Struthio camelus: one gene and its partner. The protein of the gene in region 2 binds, or shares a complex with, the protein of the main gene of each other region. Links are inferred from orthologs where the notes say so. Each region holds a gene or a part of one and is shown on either strand. Other genes may lie near its edges.

Region 1 (7,999 bases), on a different chromosome or scaffold from region 2:
CTCCACTGCCCCAACCAAGACTGATTATCAAACATTAGAGCCACTAAATCCACAAGTAGAAATAGTTCTTCAAGTTATCCAAGCAGCAATGGACACCAGGAAACTCCACCGAACAAATCATCAGAGATACCCTCAGGCATCAGGCAATTTCAAAAAACAAGTTGGAATCTGAATCCTACCCAGTTTTTGGGCAACTGAAAAGCAAAGCAGGATGCAAGAAATTCAGTAAACCTTGTAAGGATGAAACGATCTCAAAACTTCTCATTCTTTTTCAGTACACTTAGAGTGTTTTCCAGCTAACTCTACTGAACTTAGGCAACACTGCCTTGGAAAAACATGCATACAGTGGCTGCATTTTGTGCAGTTAGCTGCGTAACCTGCCAGAGCATTCTAGAAGCTGAAAGCTGTTCATACCCATGGGAAGACAATCAAATTAAACCCATCAGCACAGAGATTTGGAAAGGGACATTACAAGCAATTGCATTCAACACAAAAGATTAAGAAACAACACAGTTGCCAGTCAAAGATGAATGCCATTGCTATTAATCATATTATTTTCTGTCACATTTAACACTGTTATATTCACCATTTTTATAGACAAAAAGCAACTCTGCAACATTCTGAAGCACTAAAGGTGACCAATACCATATAAAAAAGGTGAGGGGGGCAGCTAAACCCTAATTTGCTGAGAATTGTCACATCATCTAGCAATTAAAAATACCAGCACAGTAGAATAAACAATACCAAAAGGATCTGACGCATGGCTTCTAAACTGACTGTTGCCTCCTCCACAAACACCAAACCTATCTATGTCTGAATCCTGGGTTCACAGGCTTGACACACAGCACTAGCTTCTGCTAATAAACAAATCCAGTTCCAGAATGCAATCACTTTCTTTTGTTTTGGTAAGGAAATCACTGATCCTTCAATTACAAAACAGCTGCAGCTATGGACAGTTTGATCACTTCTTTATTGCTGTTTGACCATCATCTTTGCACAGTAGACCTTTACAGCATAATTTGAGGAGGAAGTGGACAGACGCTTCACTGCCACTAGCTACAAAACTCTTTCCAGCTTCCACTGATAAACCCCAGGGCAAGGAACAATCTATACCATTTGTACACACTTTAGTAACGGAAAGCACAGACTTAAAGGCCTACCTGTGGCTTCTGAACACCAAATCTTGACTCAACTCAAAACTACTCTGCCTTTCCTCCTTAAGACACAGCACTAAAAACGAATGAAAACTAGGTACAGACTTTGGGCTAATAGTAAAGTCTTCTTGTTTGTCAAAGAACAGGGGAAAGGAAGGAATCAAATGCAAAGAAAAGATTGGAACCTCCCAGGTATAAGCCTTTATAAAGGCTCGGCTGGCCTTTCCTAAGGTAACACATTACAGTTCTGGCAGCTTGAATATTGAACCCATTTGTTTTAACAAAGAGGAAAGTGAAAATTACATTTACAGTAGATTGCACCTACACAGCAACTACTTGTAAATTTGTTAGAGAGCAAACAGGGAAACATACACTATAACATACAACATACTTACTGGAATATGTGGTAAGGTGATTGTTACTTCATCTCCTTTACCAACTTGGAGCTCCCCTTCACAAGACGTATCGATCGATGCTGGTTTAAAATCATCTAAAGAGGAAAATAATTTGGATTCTATTCATGTGAAACTGTTTCTTAGAGCCTTCATAATTCATCCTCCCCTGTAAAAAGTCACTGCACGTTTACTGTGATATAGGGAACATTAAAATACACGTTAGCGCTTACAGCAGGGGTAGAATAACATACCAGCACAATGTGCCTATGCTCAGAGCTCCAGTCACATGACAATATCAGATTCTAAATTTACTTTTTAAAATGGAAGTAACTTTCTAGACCTTTGTGTGTGCAAGACCAAAAGCAGGCTTCTCCCAACGACGTCAGTACAGCGACACTTGATTTTGCAGATTTTGTAAAACTGTTCCATGCATCTCAAAAGAGTATTAACGGCAAGCCCCAGTGCCCTGTATGGGTCTTGCCACTTCCAACCCAGAGGATACTTCTGTTCGTGACAAAGAATAACTTAGCGAGGCCATCCCAGTTAGCCTCACTGATATTTCTGACAGCCTTTGATAACAGCCTTTTTGCCTCCGCACCTCCACCTCAAGCGCAGAGCAGCTCTTAAACCCCACCTGTGAGGGGGAAAACAGAGGTGCTGGTCTTATTTCACCACGCTTCATGCTAGGACAAAAACACTGTGAATAGAGAGCACAACTAAGGCAAGACACTGGGATAGCTATAAGCTGCCCCTAGTGTTTTTGGTGCCTTGTACAGAACACTCTGTCCCTCAAGCAATACACTTTTGTTTACTGTATTTAGTTGAACTAAGAACATTTTAACTTCAAAGTATTTTCCCCTCAATTACTCAGCTGCGATGAGCCATAAAAACCAGAACAAATGACCAGAACACATAACATTTTGACAGAGAATTTAGACAAAGCGAAATAATATCAGATAGATATGGATATAGGATTTTTTTTTTTAAAACAAGCATCCATTAAATCCTAGCATCTCAGAATACAAAGAGGTGCAATTACATTCACAACCAAGACTTTTAATTATTGCATTAGTTAAGACACTAACATCTCAGAACAAATTTAAAATGTAATTCCACTAGGAAAAGCACGTTTGCAGGAAAAAAACAGCTTTGTAGCAAATTCTCATTAGGAGGACATTAATGTCTAATTGAGTTTTACTTTGACAGCACAACAAGCAAAATCAGGCACACTTGACTTAATCCTCATGCCTTAACTGCCAGACCAAATCATATCCTTGGTTTTCATCTGACCAATCTATTTCTAGCTATTGTTTCCCATCTACTTCATGTGCAAGTTTGCTAAATAGAACATAAGCTCGCTGTAGAAAGGCTAGGGTCTTTGCCAAAAAGGGATCACAACTTTCAACAGCGCAGTCACTAAATGAAAAGCAAAATATCACTAACGTGCTTCTTTCTTGGATATTAACAAAATATAGAGTTATTCCAAGCAAACACTCAAACAATAAATTGTTTTCTTTTTGTATCTACTTGGCTAATTTTCCTGTAGACGGAGGGCAAACATGTCCACCTAAACGTAGCTGCAGTCCTTTTTCCAAAAGTCAAGTTTCTTTAGATGTGTTTTCCATGGATAATCCAGTTTTTCAGTTCGGAATTTCATAAACATTGCAGAAAAAGATGAGGTATTTTAAGGAGCAAGAGACAAATTTAGCCTGCAAAATCCTCTTACTGTAGTTTGTATGAAGAGGATTAGGGGAACACTATGATGCTCAGATCCTAGACTAATCATTTAAAATCAAGAGTTAGAAGAAAAAGTTATAATCAGCAAAGCGAAAGAGATCTCACTTGAAAGTCACTGACTACAAATACAGCACACAGAAAGCTCTTTGAAAATAAAACTGGATTTTTCCGGTTGTAGTCTGAAGTGTTCTGGCTTTGCAGTCCCTTAAGAAATTGATTACTGAAGACCCTTCAGTCCTAGAAATCCAAAGTATTATCTGGACATGACCTAGGTTTAATTCATATGCTATCAGACAGCAACCTCATTTGTTTGATGGTTGGGCTATTTTAAAACTTTGATTTATAAGTGAAGATTTACTACTGTGCCAGTGCTGAATAAAACTAATGGTATTATGAATAAACAGTAAAATATATCACACACATGCTACGGCCTTCTTTAGCATCATGGGGTTATGTAAGTGTAATAGAGGGGTGAACCACACAAAACTTAAGTGTTAATCTGCGGGAGAGAGTTTACTATCTAGGGAAACAGCTTCTCTGTAAACACTGATCCTCTGCTTGGATAATAGCTCAGTCTAGAAAATTGTTCTTTCAAGCCTCACTCAGGTGACTAATCTCACTGAAATTATTTACTCATAGTGTATGAAAGCAGGCTATGAAACCAGGCCTAGGAGTATACATCATACAACAAAAAATCCTGCTGTTAATAGTATAAATTCTCCACACTAATACAAAGATACTAAAATACAGTTTCACTATAATTCTCGTCTCCTGTTGCTGATTAACTACTAATTTTAAATGTTTAGAAAAAGTAATGAAAATGAAAAAGCAATTTCTTGTCTACAGCATTCAAATACAGAGATACAGGTGATCTCCTCTTCCAGGAGGAGATCCTCTAATATGATATAAAATGTATTCCACGCTAGAAAACAGCAGTTGAAAAAGACGTTTGGTGTCTTAGAAAAATACATTTTTCCAGCTCCTCCAAAGCAAAATTACTGCTCGAGACCTTGCCTCAGCATTTATCTTATGCTTATTACCACTTGTTAGGCAATACTGCATGCGTTGGAATCATTTCTGCTTGCCTTCCTGGAAAGTGACTTACAATAGACCTTGAGAGTCAACAGAGCCGGGGAAAAAGTTGCTGGGTTACATGGTGCCTCATTACGGCAACAATCAGTTAAATTGAATCGGCTGCAGACAAGCTGTACTCCTTTCCCGACACTCCTGCCCACCCAGAAGAAGCCAGACCAGGGCCTGTGGTGACCTGTAACACCAGGCCCATAAGAAAATGGAAAGCCTTCCCTTTGAGGAGGAGGAGGCTTTATGCTCTTAAACGATTCACGTGCACTTCACGAACAACTCCAGAGCCCCTTTGTCTTCTGCAGTCTGCCTCGTTCACACTTTTGCTCTACTAGAGGGGGCCGCGCGAGGAGACCCGCTCTCCCAGCACGTCTGTTTGTAAACGCTTCCAGCGCAGCCCTGGCCGGCTCTCCGTTGCCCTCCCCCTGCCCCCTCGCTGCTCGGGCTGCAGCCACAGAGCCAGAGGGCGAAAACGGGCCCTGGGGGGGACACGGGGGCTAGTTGGGGGGGGGGGGCAGGGAAGAGAGGATATAGGTCGCTGAGGGGGAAGGAATGGGCTCTAGGGGGAACGATGGACTCTGAAGGGGCAGCAGGGGCGGGAATAGGCGCTGAGGTAAGGACTGGGGAGGGGGGGAAGGAGGGCTGAGGAGGGCAGTAGGGGCGGGAAGGAGGGAGAGACGGGCGCTGAGGAGGGACGATGTCGGAAGCCGGCGCGGCATGAGGGGTGGCAGCCGGCCGGGGGCAAGCCCCACGGGGGGTAGGGGAGCCTCGTCCCCCCCGCGGGGAGGCAGGGCCGAGGCGGCGGCCTCGGGAGCGGGGTTGCGGGGGGGGGCGGCTCCGAGGCAGGGCCGGGCACCCCCCGCCATGTCGGGGAGGCGCTGGCCACCCCCCCCCCCCCGCCATTTCGGGGAAGGCAGCGAAGGGCGGCAGGAGCTAGAAGGGACGGCGGGGCCCGGGGAGGAAGGTATCGCGGCGGAGGGCGAGCTGCCGGGCAGGTAACGTGTGTGTGTGTGTATGTATATGTCCCCCCCCAACCACCACCCCGGGCGGGAAGGGGCGGGGGCGCTCACAGCGGATGGTGTGGAAGGAGGCCTTGGGCCGGCGCTCGAAGCTCTCGCCCAGCTGCAGCGGGTGCTCCTCCTTGTCCAGTAGCGGGTTCGCCGAGCCGTTCATGGCCCCGCTGCCGTGCCGTGCCGTGCCGTGTCCTGCGCCGCCCGTCCCTTCCTCTCCTCCGCCCGCTGCGTGCGCGGCCGCCCCGCGCCCTTCCGGGCCCTGAGTGCAGCCGCGAAAGTGCTCCGGGGCCGAGCCGAGCCGTCTCGTCCCGTCCCGTCCCCTCTCCCCACAGGGCACCGAGGGCAGGTGGGCGCCGTTGGGGGGGCACGCAGGGGGTCTGGCCCCGTGTGGGGCGCCCTCCCCCCCCCCCGCAGCGGGGTCTGGCCGCCCCTCGCGGCGTGGGGCGGGGGGGAGCGGGGGCTGCGCGGTGCTAACGGCTGCTAACGGCTGCTGGGGGGGTTGCGGGGCGGGCGACCGTTATCGTCGTGTCAGCTCTTTGGTTTCTGTCTAACACAGGGGTCTTTCCAGACGTAAAGGGGGCAATTTAAACGGGTCATTTCCCCCCCCCCCACTCCCCTCTCTAGCTTGTCTTACCCCAAAAAACCCCGCACGCGTTGATTTGATGCGTGCCAGGCGCACAGCAGAACCTTTTTGCTGCTGAAACTTCTCTTTTTGTTTTTTTTCTTTCTTTCTTTGAGGATATACCTTCAAGAAAAAATCAAAATATTACATATTTTGAGGAAAAGCCTGTGTCTTTAGTAGATTTTCCTTCTTCAAGGGAGTCTCATCGCTGTTGGCCTTTCCCAGCCTTCCTGCGGGCAAGCGGCGTGTGGTCTGGCTCCTGTGAAGCTGGGCACAACGGGCCCGCTTCCTCGTTTCCCGCCGTTCCCGCGTTTGTGTGTTGTGTTTGCACTGTTACGTTTGTACTAACCAAGATAAAATAGCGGAATGAAGTACTGCTCGTTGTTGTTGTTCTTTTTTGTTTTGCTGAAGGGTAGAAGTTGTTGTTTTTCCTCATTTCCGTTTCTGTGAAGCGGCACGAATGCCCAGTCCTGGGCACTGATGGACGTGGATGGGCGCGTTTTGGCCTGCCAGGGGTTTCAGGGGAGTTACTGGGTCACGCGGGATTTAATTCACGTACGCCGTCTGGGTGTTTGTGGCAAGGCAGAGCTCAGAGCTAGTTTAACGTTAGGGAAATGACTTGAATCCTTTCCTGGCCTCCATAAAGGTGTTTTTATTGCCTCATTTTTGTTAACTTCTGAAAAAAACATACCCGTCATTGTTCAAACTGCTGTGAATCCTCAGGAAGAGGCAGTGGAAGGAGTGCGAGCTCAGGAGAAATGTTAAGGTGAATATGGTTTTCTTTGCCAACTGAAACGGGACTCTTAAAAGGTGTGCCCCCTGCTTTTCAGTTGTGAGCTTTCTGAGGTGTTACTAACCAGAGTTACAAAGCCCGTGTTTTCCTTTTCTAGTCGATTTTAGTGCAAATAAACTTAGAGCTGCATCATCTCTCTCTGGTTGGGTAGTTTTCTATGATACGTGTGGAAGACCAGCAGAATTTGTCCCCTGTGTTCTTTGAGATCAGTGTAGTGTCTTACCTGGTGCTTAGCTTTGAAGGAGGATTTCTGAAAATAAGAGAAGCAAGTCTGGTGGTTTTGCGGTCTGTTATGTAGGGCAGATCACCATAAAACCTCCGAAAGTGCATACAAAAACTAACTATCTCCCTCTCTCTCTCTCTCTCTCTCTTTCTCTTTTGTGCTTTTAGATCCTTGGTTATTTACCAAAATTAAGTGATGGAAACATATATATGCTAAAAAAAAAATCACTGTTGGGGCTTTGGTATTCACATCTCTGTGAAATACTCTAGGATGTTCCATGAAAACCCACCAGCCGATTGCTTAAATTTAATAATTACATCTACTGAAGCTGATGCTTTCCAAAAAAAAGGCCATAGTGCAAGGATCCTTAGCCCCGAAGAAGCTGAGAGACTGGCAAAAGATAAGGTTTTGGTGACTGATTTCAAACAACTAAAATTGGAGAAAGAGGCACAGAAGAACTGGGATCTATTTTACAAAAGAAACAGCACCAACTTCTTCAAAGACAGACACTGGACAACCAGAGAGTTTCAAGAGTTAAAAGCATGTCGGGAGGTGAGCTGAATACACCTATCTATAAGTAAAGAGATATGATTCATTGTTTTCAAATGATGTAGTAATATTTCTAACAAAGCCATTAAGGTGAGAGCTCTCACGTTTTAAGTGTGTAGTGCTTTGTGTAGTGTAGTCTCTTTTAATGTCAAAGATATCTCCTCAGGATCAGTTTAGTTTCAGTTTATAATTCTTTCATATTGTATATGGAGAACCAAATCTGGAATATTTATTTTGCATCTGCACAGAGAGACAAGTTGTCTATTTAGGACGCAAGTTACAGCACTTAAAACACTGTTTTAAAGAAAGCATCCAGAACTACAGGCTAATTGCAAAATATCCTTAAGGGGAATAGTCAGATGCATCTGTTGCTCATTCTATCTGGATGAGACACAAGACAGCAATAGTACAACAATCTGTTAATTAAGTG
Region 2 (7,544 bases):
TAATTCAAGAGCAGTGAGAGACAGCCAGATTACAGAATATTACCCTATTATTTTAAAGCAAGCCAAACTATGAACTCAACCCCCAACTACCACAAGCCTTAAAGTTGGTAAGCCCAAAAGAACAGTCCTCCTGGATTAAGCGTCCTTATAGACCAACACCCAGTCTGATAGCAGCCCAGAGTGGATGCCTGAGAAACACTATGAATAAGAGAACAAACAAACTAATCTTTGTCCTAGCAGGCCCTCACATCTTCAAACAAGCAGTACCTTCAGGCTTTCTGTTCTAATCATCACAATAAGAGTGCCCCAGATTTTTCTTCCCCTATGGATCTGTAAAACCTTTCAAACCCATTTATACCTTTCGTTTATGACAATAAACTGCTCCAAAATTTGCATATGTCTTCAGGGAGATTATTCCCTATTTGTCTGTATCACTCAGTTTAATTCTAATAAAGTTGCACTTCACTTCAAGATGAGGAATATGAATCTTTTAGGTCTCTCTCCTGATTATTTTGATGCTCTTCTCCATCTTTTTAATTCTGTAACAACCCCTTTGAAAGGGGTATGACAGTCCTTCCTGCATTTCCTTTCAATCCAAGAAGTTCATGTCTCAGATTCAAATACTGGCATAATTCTCCCATTAAGTTCTCAGGTCATCTTCAGTAATTTTTTTTTTTTTTTTTACCTACTACTTGCATTTTTGACCAGTGCCTAGTAACGAGCCATTAGGTTCAGAGAACTACTCACAACAATTCCAAGATCTTTCCAGAGAGGTGATAGCTTGTTTGCTATCACCAACACATTTACGTATTTACAACTGTTCCCCCAGTTTGTATCACTCTGCATTTGTTGTCATGTTATTTCAGCTACCGACAGCTAAATATTTATCTCAGTTCATGTGATGTTGCATGAACCTCCTGCAGTCGCCTTTGGCTTTGACAAACCTGAATCAGCACTTCACAGCACTATTTTCATAGCATCACCTATACTCTCAATCCCATCTATAAAATAACCTTAACACAAAAAGCTTTGGGATGGGACAGTTAACTAAACTAGCTTTGAACATTTCTATACAACTGGATCCCAGCTTCATGAAATATTTCCCCATTATACAAGAAGTTTCATTAAAAGATGGCAAGTCTCCCTACAAACCCCACTTCACTTATATTCTCACACCTTCATAGCTTCAACATTAATCACAAGCATATCACTGACAGAACTTATAAATAAGTAAAGTGATGGTTTGGATAACTTGTAGATATAAGTACCTAAAATAAGACTGTTCACTGTGATTAAATTAGTGGCCAGAGAGGCCTTTGCATATGCTGCAAGCGAATATGAGGGGCACTTTTTGGAACTGACCTGATTTTAATTGCTGTACATACGACTGATTTATACTCAGAAATAATGTCATTTTCCACATGGAAATTGGGCAAAAGAGACAGAAAAAATTAAATTCCTCAAAGTTGTTACAGGAAATTAAGAGCACAGAAAGTAACACTGCTTCTTTCATTTAGGCAACCAAGTTTCACGATGCCAGTAATCGCATCTCTCACCATGAGAATGTACCAAGGAGTATTATAAATCCTAAACTCAGATGTCCAGTACAGTATCACAGTAAACAGCTATTTTAAAAATATTCCAAATATCCAATTTTAAAACGCTATCATAGAAGCAAGCAACTTCAGAACATCAGCATTTCAGTTTGGGTTTCACTGCATGCTTTACGAACCTTCACAGCAGACTGGCTTTTTGGACTGCAGGGAGTGAAAAGGGAATACTTAAGGCAATCAAACATCTTTAACCTAACTCACTGATGTACAGCAGACTGAAGGTGCACCAGTCCTGGAAAATAAGGTGTTCCTGCTCTACTCTGCTGGGTGCCATATGAGGTGCCAAGAAGGAAGACCACTGGCTGTGAAATAGGAGTTAACTAAGGAAGGACTGAAAACACAGAAGACAAATAATACTATTTTATTAGTTAGCTACATTTTCTACTAACGTTAAACGTAAGAACAATTTATTTTCTTCACAGTTCCATTTAAAAGCTGTAAAAGGAAGTAATTCTTATCCATCTTGGGCATTCTCACTTAGGATCTTTGTTCCTAAAGGCTGGCTGCCACCTCAGCCCACTGACAGAGCAGAAGCCTTAAACAAGACACAGACAGCACGCCAGATCACTGAAATGGAAACCAGCCCAAACTTACCATTATTTGCGGGGAGAACAACCAAAGCCGGCAGGCAGCGCTCCGGAGCGGGCAGCGGCTCCCAACGCCGCCCGAGCGATGAAGCTCCAGAAACCTCCGAGCCAGGGTCGGGGACTCCCCGCGGGCAGCGCCCCCGGCCGGGCAGCGCCCCGGGGGAGGGCGGCCCCCTTCCCATGATCCCCCCAGGGCCGGCCCCGGGGCAGCCCCGACCCCCACCCCCAGCCCGCAGCCGACACCGCCCGGGACCGGCCCCGCCAGGCGGCAGCCGGGCAACGACCCCCCCCTCCGCCAAGGGCTCCGGGGAAAAAGGCCCGAGGGGGCGGGGGCCGCCGAAGGAGTGGCGATGGAGCCCCCCCAAACCCGCTCCCCCCCCCCGCCGAAAAGGGCCGGTCCCGTGAGGAGGCCGCTGCCCCCCGCCAGGCCCAGACCTCCCCCTCCTCGGGGAAGGTGACCCCTCCGGTTGCCATGGCGACCGGCCGCCGCAGGCCGTTACCTTTGAAGAGATAGTCGTACTCGTCGTCGCGGGTGCCCATGGTGCGGTGCACCGAGGCGCGGCGGGAGGCCGAGGACCGGGACGGGCAACGGGAGCGGGAGCCGGAGCCGGACCCCTCCCTGCAGCCGCCGCAGCGCTTCCGCCCTCCGCGCTCCGCTCGCCCGCCCACAGAGAGATGCTTCCGGGGCAGCGCCGCGGCGGTACACGTCACTTCCGGAGACAGGCGACAGTGCCCCCCCCCCCCCTTAAAGGTGCGGCGCCGTCGCCAAGGCGGGGCGGGAAGTGCGGTGCCGCCCGGCGCCGCCCCTCAGAGCCCCTCCCCGCCTACCGGCCCCGCAGGCCCCGCCCCGCCGCGGAGCGGGCGGAGGAAGCATTAGAGGCGGGCGGGGCGGGTGATGACCACAGCGGTTCCATGGTGTAATGGTTAGCACTCTGGACTCTGAATCCAGCGATCCGAGTTCAAATCTCGGTGGAACCTGAAATTTTCTTTTTTTTCTTCTGTTTTCCCACCCCCCCGCCCCCGTCGGTTTTGTTCGTCCTCTGCCTGAGCAGTGGCCAGGCGCACGCCTTCCTCCCCTCCACTCTGTGCTGCTCCACAGACACAGGGCCGTATCTAACGATTACACCTCACACTTTCTCCTGATTTTAGCCCGCTAGTCCTTTCCCCCGCTGGGGAGTGGCTACCATCGCCCTGTCCCCACGGGCCAAGGACGGTACCGTGGGGGCTAATTTTCTGAGGGAGAAAACCCCAGAGCTGTCTCCAACTGTGCCGAGACCAAGGCGGATCGGAGGTAAACCCACCACGGCTCACAGAGCGGTCAGCAGCCCCGCAATCTGGGGGCACGTAACGACACGTCAATGAACTCTGAGTTAACGAGGTGCATCCCAGCCCGGGGCGGAGGTATTCGCCTCCAAGCGGCTCAGGTTTGCCACGCTCCCGCCGTGAGAGAGAGACAAAAATGGCGCCGGGGCCGTGAGGGAGAAGCAAAAATGGCGTCGGGGCCTGCGGGAGGCTGCGAGGCCGCCCCGAGGCGGGAAACGGGGCCGCCGCGCCGCAGGAGCTGCTGAAAGCTGGGTTTCTTCTGGAAACGAGCGGAGAGGCCGGCTCAGAGACCGACCGGCCGCGTTTTGGTCGTCCTCCGGGTCCGCTGGCCAAGGCCTCGCCTGGTCCTGCCCGTTGGCTCCCGCGGCGCGCGCCGGAGGCCTAAATAGCGAAAGATAAAAATAGCCCTCATGTCCAGACGATTAAACCGAAACCCTGAAAACTCATTCTTTTCCCACCGGCTTGCCGTCAGCAGGAGCTGTGAGTTAGCCATCGCTACAACCAGTGGCGGCGTTACCGTTGCCGCCCGCTGGGCGTCAACCCTGGGGCGCCCGCCGCGACCCGGCCCGGCACCGACTGTCGGCTGCAACGAGAGCGAACCGTGGCGCGCGCCTTGCGCTTCGAAAACGTTTCCGGCGGCTTCAGCCAGGCGGGAGCTGCTGGGCGAGGAACGCCGATAACAAAGACGCCCGGTGTGAAGCCGAAGCCCGAGTCGCCCGGTAAGAGTCCGGCCGCCCAGGGGCGCGGAAGTGGAGCGGGAGCCCAGGGCCGCCGTTGGCTTCCTTCCTGGGGCGCGTGGCGACGTCCGGCTTCTCGCCGCCATTCGTGCACGAAACCCGCTTAGTGTTGAGGGCTCCGCGGCTCCGCGGTCCGGCTCTGCAGGCGAGGCGGGGATAACGGTGTCTACGGGCGTTGCAAGACCAAACCCCGCAGCAGCAGGCAGCACGCGGGTAGCAGCGCAGCCACGAGGTCTGCGGGAGTATGTGCGGTCTCTGCGTTGACCCTTTTTCTCTCCAGATGAACCCCGGACGCTCAAAATGCATCTGAAAATGCTAGGCCGCTCCTGCCGCTCTGTTCTCTGAAGTTATCTCGATGCAGCAAGACGGGATTTAAAATTAATAATGGCTTCTGATGTGTGTAGAGGCTGTGGTGTATTTATAGCTCTGTAGTTTCCATCTCACATCCTATTTTCAGGCTGCCATTGAACTTTGTCATTAAAAAACTGTTAATTTTAACCTGACGTTTCCCAGGCCTAGTTTCACCCTTCAAAGATGCTATTACTTAAAAAAAAAAATTAAAATAGCCCAGTTGAAGTATTTTTAGTTGGCTGTCTGTAAGAGTTGTTTCGTTTTGGTGCTTTGGATTTTGTTTGTCAGCTGAGAACCTGGAAACACCCTTTATTTGCATTTTTCATATGTGTAAGAGTCACTTCCTCTTGCACCAAGTTGCAGATGTTCCTAGTCTGGAACTGGCACAAAGTAAGGAGAATGGCTCTTCCGGCGGAGCTAAAAGTGACGGCCCCTACATTGCTGTACAGTTACAACTTGGCAAAATTAAACAAGGCATTGCCAATCATGTGTTGCAATATGAAATTTCAGCAGATTGCCATGTACGTGAGTAGTCACAGGGGTTATTTCTAGCTGAGCCATTTAAATGCTTTTGCTCATTTGTATTCAGGTTCTTCATGGTGTAGACAGGCAAAACTGAAATAGCAGAAAGAACTGCGTGTCTGAACAGGAGTAAACTGATAGCAGTAAATGAGGATAGCATTGGACTAGCAGGGAGCTCTAGAAATTAAAAAGCCTTATAGTCTGGTCAGTGCTGGGTTAATTCTGTTCCTGATCATGAAAAGCCCAGGTGAGAATGTACAAATCCTCAGGAAATGCCACTGTTAGCAAAGACTGTTTTGGCTGTTCTGCTCCTTCTTTGTGTCCCCTCCTAGAGTGTGCTGCTGCGTTACGGGATGGCCTGGGACACCTCCTGCTCGTATGAAATGTGGCCAAGAAGCAGAGGTCAGGCCTGAAATAGCAGAGGACTATGTGCTCTGGGACTGGCAGCTTCTAATGTGAAGAAAGTCGTTCAGCGCTGGAATTTCTGCTTCGTTAATTGCCGTTAGTGCTGTACTTGTGGGAACGCTAAGTTCATTGCAAACCCTGAATTTTCACTGGCTGTTAATTCTTCACGTTGTGCTTAGAAAAGACCATTTGTGGTGGCAGCATGTTGCAAGCAACTGGAGCAGAGACAAGGACTGATACTCAGCTGGACCTTGGATGTTCAATTTAGCAAAGAAAAGAAGCAGAGGACACACTCATAACTGTGTATTTATGGTACTTTTCTGGAAATTATACACCAGTGGCCAAAAAGGCCCCAGATTTTGCCACAGCAGCACATTTAATGTGCAGGTGTGTGCGTTAGGGCTGTCAGCGCAGACCTGCTCTGCCTCAGGCGCTGTGTGTCCGGCTCCCCCCACGCACCCTCGCTTCATTCTCCCACTTTGCTCCTGCCACCTACTCTTGCGACCCTAAGAGGAATCCTCACCTAAAAAAAGTAAGAGGAGTTTTGCCCCCATCTTTGGCGGTTCTAGCTTTCCCACAACAAGGTCAGGGTCTCTTTGCAGAAAGCACTGGTTGGATTTGACATGGAAACAGAAGAAATTGAAATAAGGCAGGGGCAGTAGTTCAGCAGTAGAGCTGCTGGTCCCAGATCTTCTGACTCTGTATTCTCCATCCACGCTTTGCAAAGCCCATGAAATTGGCAGCTCAGGGAATGATTTGGGGTAGGAGTCACAATAATTCAGATTGCCCTTGAATGGCTGCTGACCCAAATTCCTGTTTCCCAGGTGAAAGGAGTCACCAGCTTCCCCTGTCAGAAGGCAGGAAGAACAAAAGCAAAGCCCCACAACCCATCCTACTCTATCACAGGAGAAATATTTCCTAAGGGGGAAATCCAATCGATACTTTCCAATTTTCTAACAAACCATGAATCATTGCAATTATGCAGAGATAATTCAAGCTTTCCAATGCAGCAGTCACATTAGAGATGAAAAGCAGGCTTTTAGCACTCACTACCTCCGACTTGACATAAGTCAATCAGAAAAAAGAAAGCTTAAGTATAAAATCCATCCGTTGAAATAACAAACTTTTCTTTTTAGGGCTCTGGACCAGAGCAAAGGGTCTATGATGTACAACGGGTTCTATTTTCGGACAGTTCCATGCCAGAGGTAGGAGTAATAAAAATGCATGGAGTAGAGAGAATTTTTCTGTTGATAACTTATTTGAACGCCAGCATACAGTCTATTCTTCTTCTACTTCTACAGCTCATATAACAAGAAATGTTCAAAAACATTTTCTGTAAATCAGCCTTTTCCTTCCTAACTCTGGAGCTGGAAGAACAAAGGATCTGGATCTGGATCTTTCCAAAGCCTTTCCTAACCTCATCCTAGTTTTCTAAAGATCTGAAGAAAGATAGAGAAGGCAGCAGCCCTAGAAAAGATTAACAATCTGCTGGAACCATTTCTGTGCTACACTGGCATTCTGGTAAGCAGAAGGGAAGGCATGTTTTCACCATGCTTTGGGAACAGGGATCAAACGCGACAGGCTCAGTGACTCGGGATTTCTCATGATGACTGTCAAAATGAAGCCATCAGTTTCCTGCCTCCATTTTGGACTCAGCGCGCATCTCCTCGGCTGTGTCTGCTGCCTCCAGAGACGTATTAGCAAGATAATGCTTGCAGCTCCACCATAATTGCTGGCCAGGAAATAATTTCTGAGACACAGCTCAAAATCTTCTTACTCTTACTAGACCCTGCCCCCTGACTTCTATTTCCTACCTACGGCCAAAATCTACTTGATGTCGGCATATTGAATAGGAGAGTCGCTACCAGGCAAACACAGTGTCGGCAGACAAGTGTGATCACAGTACTGGATTTGAAGAGTCAGCCCTGGGGAATGAAGAAGGCATTTTGATTTTGGTGGCCAATTCATTCACTACTGAAACAACTGACAGAGCTAGCTGGTTGTGC

Evidence for each region. The genes of interacting proteins can lie anywhere in the genome.
Region 1: the proteins of RAB11A (region 2) and SH3BP5 are in contact, whole or in part, in a crystal structure (PDB 6IXV), measured with the Homo sapiens proteins. The link is inferred for Struthio camelus from reciprocal best matches to the Homo sapiens genes RAB11A and SH3BP5. Residues at the interface, in NP_004654.1 of Homo sapiens: Tyr8, Asp9, Tyr10, Leu11, Lys13, Glu35, Phe36, Asn37, Leu38, Glu39, Ser40, Ser42, Thr43, Ile44, Phe48, Lys58, Gln63, Trp65, Tyr73, Ile76, Ala79, Arg82, Gly83; in NP_004835.2 of Homo sapiens: Asp42, Ile45, Gln46, Leu49, Glu50, Asn53, Thr56, Ile59, Asn60, Glu63, Thr64, Glu67, Lys240, Tyr243, Leu247, Leu250, Glu251, Ile253, Ser254, Asp255, Ile257, His258, Arg261.

What each region holds. Positions count from the first base shown.
Region 1 is NC_090943.1:48,869,634-48,877,632, forward strand, and holds the start of SH3BP5 (SH3 domain-binding protein 5), read left to right. Parts: upstream 1-4,998; 5' UTR 4,999-5,364; intron 5,365-5,439; coding exon of another isoform or gene 5,440-5,542; exon of another isoform or gene 5,543-5,728; intron 5,729-7,187; 5' UTR 7,188-7,290; coding exon 7,291-7,572; intron 7,573-7,999. Other genes in the region: EAF1 (ELL-associated factor 1), read right to left, coding at 1,550-1,644, 5,440-5,542. UniProt on the Homo sapiens protein: Functions as a guanine nucleotide exchange factor (GEF) with specificity for RAB11A and RAB25. Inhibits the auto- and transphosphorylation activity of BTK. Plays a negative regulatory role in BTK-related cytoplasmic signaling in B-cells.
Region 2 is NC_090953.1:3,552,788-3,560,331, forward strand, and holds the start of RAB11A (ras-related protein Rab-11A), read right to left. Parts: upstream 3,020-7,544; 5' UTR 2,741-3,019; coding exon 2,701-2,740; intron 1-2,700. UniProt on the Homo sapiens protein: The small GTPases Rab are key regulators of intracellular membrane trafficking, from the formation of transport vesicles to their fusion with membranes.